Canis lupus familiaris: one gene and its partner. The protein of the gene in region 1 purifies or fractionates together with the protein of each later gene. This does not show direct contact. Links are inferred from orthologs where the notes say so. Each region holds a gene or a part of one and is shown in the gene's direction. Other genes may lie near its edges.

Region 1 (3,647 bases):
CAAGTACAAGTAAATATACATTGAATATCATGTTCATTAGTTCTTTGCACATTATTAGCTTTAGCTTATAGGTTCTAATAAAAGAGCTTAGTATTTTAAAATTTTTGTTTTTAGAATTTTCTGTGCTTATTCAAATATAGTAAACTTAATCATAAGAAAACCAAGTAACCACTGAACTTTGAGAACACAACCGAAATGCTAACTTAGTGTTATTTGAGCTGGTGACCTAAAATTTGTACAGTGATACATGAATATTTTGTCAATTACTAGAATTTAGCCCAAACTTAAAAATTAATGATAAATCAGAACTTTTTTCTAAAAAGAGCATTTGACCCCATAATCATATTTAGCAATTATAAAAACCTTTTATTTAGATTTCATCGATAAATTGAAGTAGTATTCCACCATTTGTATCAATCTTTTTATAGTTTTTCCCCTCAAAAGATACCCCGATAGATGTAAACATGACCGACCCTTACATTGTTTTCAAATATCAGCAGAGCAAGCAGTTCAGAAATAAGAGAAATAAAAGGAAGAATTTAATTTTAGTTGGCAGACCTTTAATGACTATAGAAATTCAGAGAAGTACAGCACTGATGAAAAGCTGATCCCATATTGTGGAGCTACTGTCTGACACGCTCCTATCTGCTTTCTGCCGGGTCTCACAAACTCCTGTCCCTTTCCAGGCTGGATTGATGTCACCTGGGATGCTGGTGGCTCAAACTCTTACCGTATGGGCGCAGAAGGAAAATTTGACCTCAAGCTTGCACCAGGGTACGACCCTGATACAGTGGCATCACCCAAACCTGTTTCATCCACTGTTTCAGGCACAACGCAATCATGGAGCAGCTTGGTGAAAAACAACTGTCCCGACAAGACATCTGCTGCTGCAGGCTCCTCAAGTAGAAAAGGAAGCAGCAGTTCTGTGTGTAGCGTGGCCAGTAGCAGCGACATCAGCTTGGGTTCGACCAAAACGGAACGGAGATCAGAAATTGTAATGGAACACAGTATAGTTTCAGGAGCTGATGTCCATGAACCAATTGTTGTTCTTTCATCTGCTGAAAACGTCCCTCAAACAGAAGTAGGGTCATCTTCCAGTGCAAGCACCAGCACCTTAACAGCGGAAACGGGAAGTGAAAATGCTGAAAGAAAGTTAGGCCCCGATAGTTCTGTTCGCACTCCTGGGGAATCTAGTGCAATATCCATGGGAATTGTTAGTGTTAGTTCTCCTGATGTTAGTTCAGTGTCTGAGTTAACTAATAAAGAAGCAGCTTCACAACGGCCCCTTAGCTCTTCAGCAAGTAACAGACTGTCAGTGAGTTCTTTGCTGGCTGCTGGGGCCCCTATGAGCTCTAGTGCAAGTGTACCTAATCTGTCCTCAAGAGAAACATCTAGCTTGGAGAGTTTTGTAAGGAGAGTGGCAAACATAGCACGGACTAATGCCACGAACAACATGAATCTAAGCCGAAGCAGCAGTGATAACAACACTAATACTTTGGGGAGGAATGTGATGAGCACAGCAAGTAAGTGAGCTTTTCCTTATGGAACCCAATCGTTTTTCCACTCGGAGGGATGCAAAGTAGGGTTTCTTGTTCAGTGGGTTCTGGCTGCAGTCTTTAACTAGATCATTAACCATGTTACATACAACTACGTCAGATTTAGCACTTCAGGAATATGAAATTAAGTTCTATAGAATCATGATCTCTTAAGAATTCAAATCAGGTATGATAAAGAACCTCTTAATTGGAAAGGATAAAACAGTAACACACTTCTATTTTCCACTCTTCTATGATAAATTGTTAAGTTCAGCTGCATGAGGAAATAGATAACTATTAAATATGTCATAGTCAACTGAAATCAGAGCATCACACTGGTTTAACTTTTCCTTAGGTCCTAAATTGATATTAGCTTCTGGAAGGTATTTAATTCTCACTTAAGCTAATGGGTAATTCCTTTGGAAAATATCATTGGGAATTAGTTCATTGCCTGTTTCACTTTTTAAAAAAGCAGGACTTAATTTTTTGAAAAAATAACAGTGCTATAAAAACAAGGATTCTTAGTTGGATTTCAGTTGGGTTCCCAAAGTTGTTGCTTTTTAGCCTTTTAATAATTAGTGTTTGATAATCTCATTCTTTTACTCTAAATACAAAACCTAGTTTTTCTTAGGTTTATACGATCCCACCATCAGTCATCCTGATTTGCTTCATTTTTATCTTTAGCTTCTCCTCTTATGGGTGCTCAGAGTTTCCCCAATTTGACTACACCTGGTACTACATCAACAGTGACAATGTCAACATCCAGTGTGACTAGCAGCAGCAATGTGGCCACAGCAACAACAGTCCTATCAGTTGGTCAGTCCTTAAGTAATACTTTAACTACTAGCCTCACATCCACCTCCAGTGAGAGTGACACAGGTCAGGAAGCTGAATATTCCTTGTATGGTAAGTGATAGTTTAAAATATTTAGGTATTTGTAAAGTGATGCTTTACCATGTTTTCCTGCTATGTGGTTTTTAACTGTCAATTAGAAAATAATTATCTCCTATTAAAGATACGTCATCTTCATATAAGAAGAAAAAACTCAGCGTGTGGGGGACTATTAAATTATCTGATCATAAGCAGACATCTAGGAACTTTTGTGTCTTCCTTTTCTACCCTGTGCACACTAATGACATTTTATTGGAAAAATCCTAATAACAAAGATATTTGACACTTTTATCAGAGAAGAATAGAAGTGTAAGAGATTAATAAGCTTTGTAAAGTTATATTCTTTGTATACTATAATGTAAGAGGAAAAACACTCCCCACGTATCTCCTCTATATTCTCAACACTATTCACAGAATGCTTCACTGCTGGCACCACTGACTGGCAAATGTTTGTGAATTTTTCCCACACCGAGCAGTTTTCAGACACAAGGTGGGTGTCATACAGTTTAACTTAGTTACTCAATTATGGCACTATTACTACCTGGAGATAAAGTTACATCCCGTAAGTAAAGGCCTCAGTTCTATGATACTATCTCCCCTTCAGATGCTAATTGAAAGTCATCTGTGTTACAGACTGGGTATAAATTGGTGGCTTCCATGACCCTTTCTTCTTGTTCGATTAATTTGCTAGAATTGCTCACAGGACTCAGGAAAACATTTTATTTACTAGATTTTAGTTAGCCTTTACTTAGAAAAAGGATATAACTTGGAAACAGCCAAATGGAAGAGATGTGTAGGGTGAGGTCTGGAAGGTCCCAAGCACAGGAGTTTGTCCTTTTGGAGTTTGGGGACCCTACCAGCCTGGAAGCCCTACAGGCTTCATGACTTAAGCACAGTTGATTAAATTATTGGCCGTTGGTGATTAAACTCTGTGTGTGGCCCCTCTTCTTTCCCCAAAAAGGAGTTATCTTTCCAGATAGCTCCTTTCTCTTCTCTTTTCTTTTCTTTTTTTTCTTTTCTTTTCTCTTTTCTTTTCTTTCTATTTTATTTATTCATTCATTCATTCATTCATTCATTCATTCATTCATTCATGGAAGACACAGAGAGAGGCAGAGAGAGACACATGCAGAGGAGAAGTAGGTTCCAGGCAGGAATCCTGATGTGGGACTCAATCCCGGGACTCCAGGCTCATGCCCTGGGCCAAAGGCAGACACTCAACCG
Region 2 (3,723 bases), on another chromosome or scaffold:
ACAGCAAGGGGCAGCCAGGGTGGCTCAGCAGTTTAGTGCCGCCTTCAGCCCAGGGCCTGATCCTGGAGACCCGGTCGAGTCCCACGTCGGGCTCCCTGCATGGAGCCTGCTTCTTCCTCTGCCTGTGCCTCTGCCTGTGCCTCTGCCTCCCTCTCTCTCTCTGTGTCTCTCATGAATAAATAAATAAAATCTTTAAAAAAAAAAGCACAGCAATTAATAGGTTACTGCTTGCTAATAGTCGTAACAGCACCTTGCTCTCCTGGGTGAAGGAAAAGGCTTTTACGGAGGAAATCCAATCCTGTGGTCGGGAGGTGTCCACCTCACCTGGTCCGGCAGTTGCTTCGTGGCCCCGGGGCAGATTTTCGGCAGGTTTGGCCCCGTCTTTCCCCCTCCAGGAATCCTGGCCTGCTGGCACCAGGGCAGGTGGGCGGTGGGCGGGTCAAAGCTGCACCCAGTTGGTCTGGGTGCCAAGTCTGTGCTGCCTACCCCCACCACCAACTTCGGCCTTTGGGGGCGACTGCAGGACCCTCCCATGACCCCCTGCTATCTGAGGCCCCCGCCCCCCACCTCCCACCCCCTGCTGCCCCGAGCCCCCTCCCAGAGGGCCCTTGCCTCCCGTCCCGCCGCCCCGGGTCCCTCCTAGAGCTCCCCCTCCCAGAGCCCCCGGCCCCCTCCCCGCCCCCTTCCCTGCGCCCCCGGCCCCTTCCCCGAGCACGGCACCCCCCAGCACCCCCGGGCCCCCTTCCCAAGCCCCAGGCCCCCTCCCCGCCGGCCCCGTCCCCGTCCCGAGCGCGGCCCCCTCCCCGCGCCCCTGCCCCCCCCCCCACCGCCGCGGGCCCCCTCCCCGCGCCCCCGCAGCCCAGAGCGGCCCGGGCGGGCGGCCGTGGCCGGCGTGAGGCCCCTCCCCGGCGGAGGCGCTCGGGTGGAGGAAGCGGAGGCGGCGGCAGCGCCGAGACCTCGCTGCGCTGATGGCGTCGCCCGGGTGAGTGCGGCGCTCGGGCCCGCCGGAGAGGGGGAGAGGGGGCCGCGGCCGCGGGGAGGGGGCTCCGGTGCAGGTGCGAGCGCCCGCGGCCTTCCGCGGCCTTCCGCGTCCCCCGCCTGCCGGGCCAGCGGCCCTCCCAGGCCCTCCTGCCGACCTTGGGCGGGCGCAGCTGGGCAGGGCAGGGCAGGGGAGGGGGGGGCCGCGGGCCTCCCGGTGGGGGCCCAGGTCGGGGTTGGCGGGGAGGTGGGGAGGACGTGCATGGCCCCGGAGCCTGGGAGTGCCCCCCCACCCCCCCACCCCCGCAGCTGCTTCCCACTGGCTCGGTGGGGGCGGGCGCTGGGCTGGCCCGCGGGGCGCAGCCGAGGGGCCCGAAGGTCGTGGCTGAGTCCCGGGGCGCGGGCGGGCCTTGCGGGCCCTGCTGGGGTGGCAGCCCCTGTTCTGACATCACCGCCTGGCCTTGCCTCCCTGCTAAAACGCTTTTTCTCTCCGGAAACATGGTGACACACACCAACTGTAATTTTTGAAAAAATCCTGACGAAATAAAACCTCAGCCATTAATTACAATTAGTTTCTGCCTCCATAGTCTAACTAGTCGTGAAAGCTGGACACGACAACCCAGTACCTTCACAGAGGAGGAAAATTAGTCTCAAGGTCATTGGTTTAGTTGGTGAAATTCTTAAGGTGACGACTGTCCACATTCAGAGGGTCTTAGGCCCAGTGGCAGTGACAGCAGTCCCTCGGGGGTAGAGGTACTGTCAGGCTGGTGACAGGTGAACTGTCCCTGCCCGAGGCCTGCAGGGAGCCTTGGATTTGCTGGCAGGGCAGCCGAGTCATGGGCACTCTCCAGCTACCTGCTGGCCTTCCTGCTTTGGGGAGCTTTGGTGACACAGTAGCTAGTACTTTGAGCTCATAATAGGCTAAACACCTGGCCCATCCCTCAGAAGGCCGGTTGGATTGAACCAGAGTTCAAGGTCCCACCATGTCCCTGCCCCTCTTGTCAGATAACAGTGAGGTGGGGTGGCCTGCCAGCAGCAGCATGATGTCCAGGCCTGTGTGGGGCTGCCGTGAGGCCTTTCCAACCTGATGGCACATTTGGTGTCCAGACGCACCCCTTTGTAGGCCTGGGTCAGAGGTGGACTTAACTGTGGGCTGGTGTGGTGTCCCTGTGGGGGAGGCAGTAGCATAGATTTGATTCCATACTCTCATGAGTGACCCTATGAGTCTGCAGGGAGCGCTAATCTGTAATGTTCTGATGCATACTCCTCGGAAAGCCAAGGCCCCGAAACTTTCAGCATCCTTTGCTGGATTTCATAGAGAGAGCTACGCACTGTGGCTCGTTAGTATGGTGCATATGCACTGGGAACAGTCCACGCCTCCAGATTAACCTCGAGGTGTCTATTCTACAGGTTTCACTGGTAGGGAGAGTCCACCCAGGAAGACCTGACTTCCGGGGACTTTCTGGCCTGGCTTGGTCAGCTGACCAGCAGAGACCCCGCCTGCTGGACTTGTACCGTGGGAACAAGCCCAGAGCTTCAGGGCCAATGTGGGAAGGGACCTCTTATTCCTCCTGGGCTATGGAATGTATGGAGGGGCCTCTGACTCTGGTGTTCTTTCCTCAGCGAATCACTATAAGACAGCTGGGAAGGAAAGAGGAGGCCCTGATGGATGTGCTGGGGATTATGCAGAAGGGAATGGCCAGAAGCAAGGCAACAGAGGAAAAGACACATTTGGGATGAGCCACAGCCCAGTGAGTTTGGGGCTATGTAGAGACAAGATTGCTGGGTCAGGCTGTGGGACTTGGCCTCATCTGTGGGCTCACTGAGGGGCAGTCCACATGACAGCAGTGTGGAGGGGGCAGGACAGATGGAGCTTGGGGACCTGCCTCCATCCACTCCCTCCTGCGGGCGTCAAGGCTTGTCTCTGCACTCACAGCTGGTGGCTTTGCCATCAGCACCCCTTGGGCTCTGTCCTCCATCTGTGCTGATCCCAGCACGTGTTCTCTGCCAGACAGCATCCCTTCCTGGGGCCTTAGATGTCGTCTAAGTCACAGGTTCTTAGCCTGGGGTCCATGGTTCACTGGTGGGTGTCTGGAGTCCATGTGTTCCCTGAAATCAGTGCGTGCATTGCTGGGACCAGGTCTCTAGCCTCGCTGTCCACAGCCCGTTTCTAAGGGGCTCTACCCCAGCAGCACTATGACCACCTGTCTACACCCACCTGGAGGGCAGCAAGCCTGGATTACTTGGGCTAAATAAATATATGGTTCAGGTTTTTGTTTTTAAAGATTTATTTATTTATTTATTTACTGAGTGAGATATGGGGGGGGGCAAGCAAGGGTGAGGGACAGAGGGAGACGGAGAAGCAGACTCCCCACTGAGCTGGGAGCCCCACACGGGGCTCAATCCGGGGACCCTGAGATCACGCCCTGAGCCAAAGGCAGATGCTGAACCAATTGAGCCACCCAGGTGCCCGCTAGTTTTCAGATTGTTAATGGTAGATAATTCAAAAAACCAAAAATCCTAAAACAAAATGAAAATCAAATGTAATCTGAATTTCCATAGTTCACCACTTTTACAATTTTGGTGTGTTTTTAATTAGGCTATATTTAATTAGGCTGTGATTCTTATCAGAGAGATGGCCTTCCAGATACAACTGGGGTGCCCCCCCAACTCACTAGGCAAGCATCCTGACATTGTCCTTTGCGTTTACATGTTATGTTTGTTCTTTGCTCTGTCCCCTCAGCC

The links. The genes of interacting proteins can lie anywhere in the genome.
Region 2: the proteins of HECTD1 (region 1) and up-regulator of cell proliferation purify together in Homo sapiens (affinity purification with mass spectrometry; 4 studies listed by BioGRID and IntAct, with this or other methods). This does not show direct contact. The link is inferred for Canis lupus familiaris from reciprocal best matches to the Homo sapiens genes HECTD1 and URGCP.

What each region holds. Positions count from the first base shown.
Region 1 is NC_049229.1:10,568,902-10,572,548, reverse strand, and holds part of HECTD1 (E3 ubiquitin-protein ligase HECTD1), read left to right. Parts: intron 1-686; coding exon 687-1,523; intron 1,524-2,219; coding exon 2,220-2,441; intron 2,442-3,647. UniProt on the Homo sapiens protein: E3 ubiquitin-protein ligase which accepts ubiquitin from an E2 ubiquitin-conjugating enzyme in the form of a thioester and then directly transfers the ubiquitin to targeted substrates.
Region 2 is NC_049237.1:14,516,276-14,519,998, forward strand, and holds the start of up-regulator of cell proliferation, read left to right. Parts: upstream 1-852; 5' UTR 853-968; coding exon 969-982; intron 983-2,601; exon of another isoform or gene 2,602-2,729; intron 2,730-3,723. UniProt on the Homo sapiens protein: May be involved in cell cycle progression through the regulation of cyclin D1 expression. May participate in the development of hepatocellular carcinoma (HCC) by promoting hepatocellular growth and survival.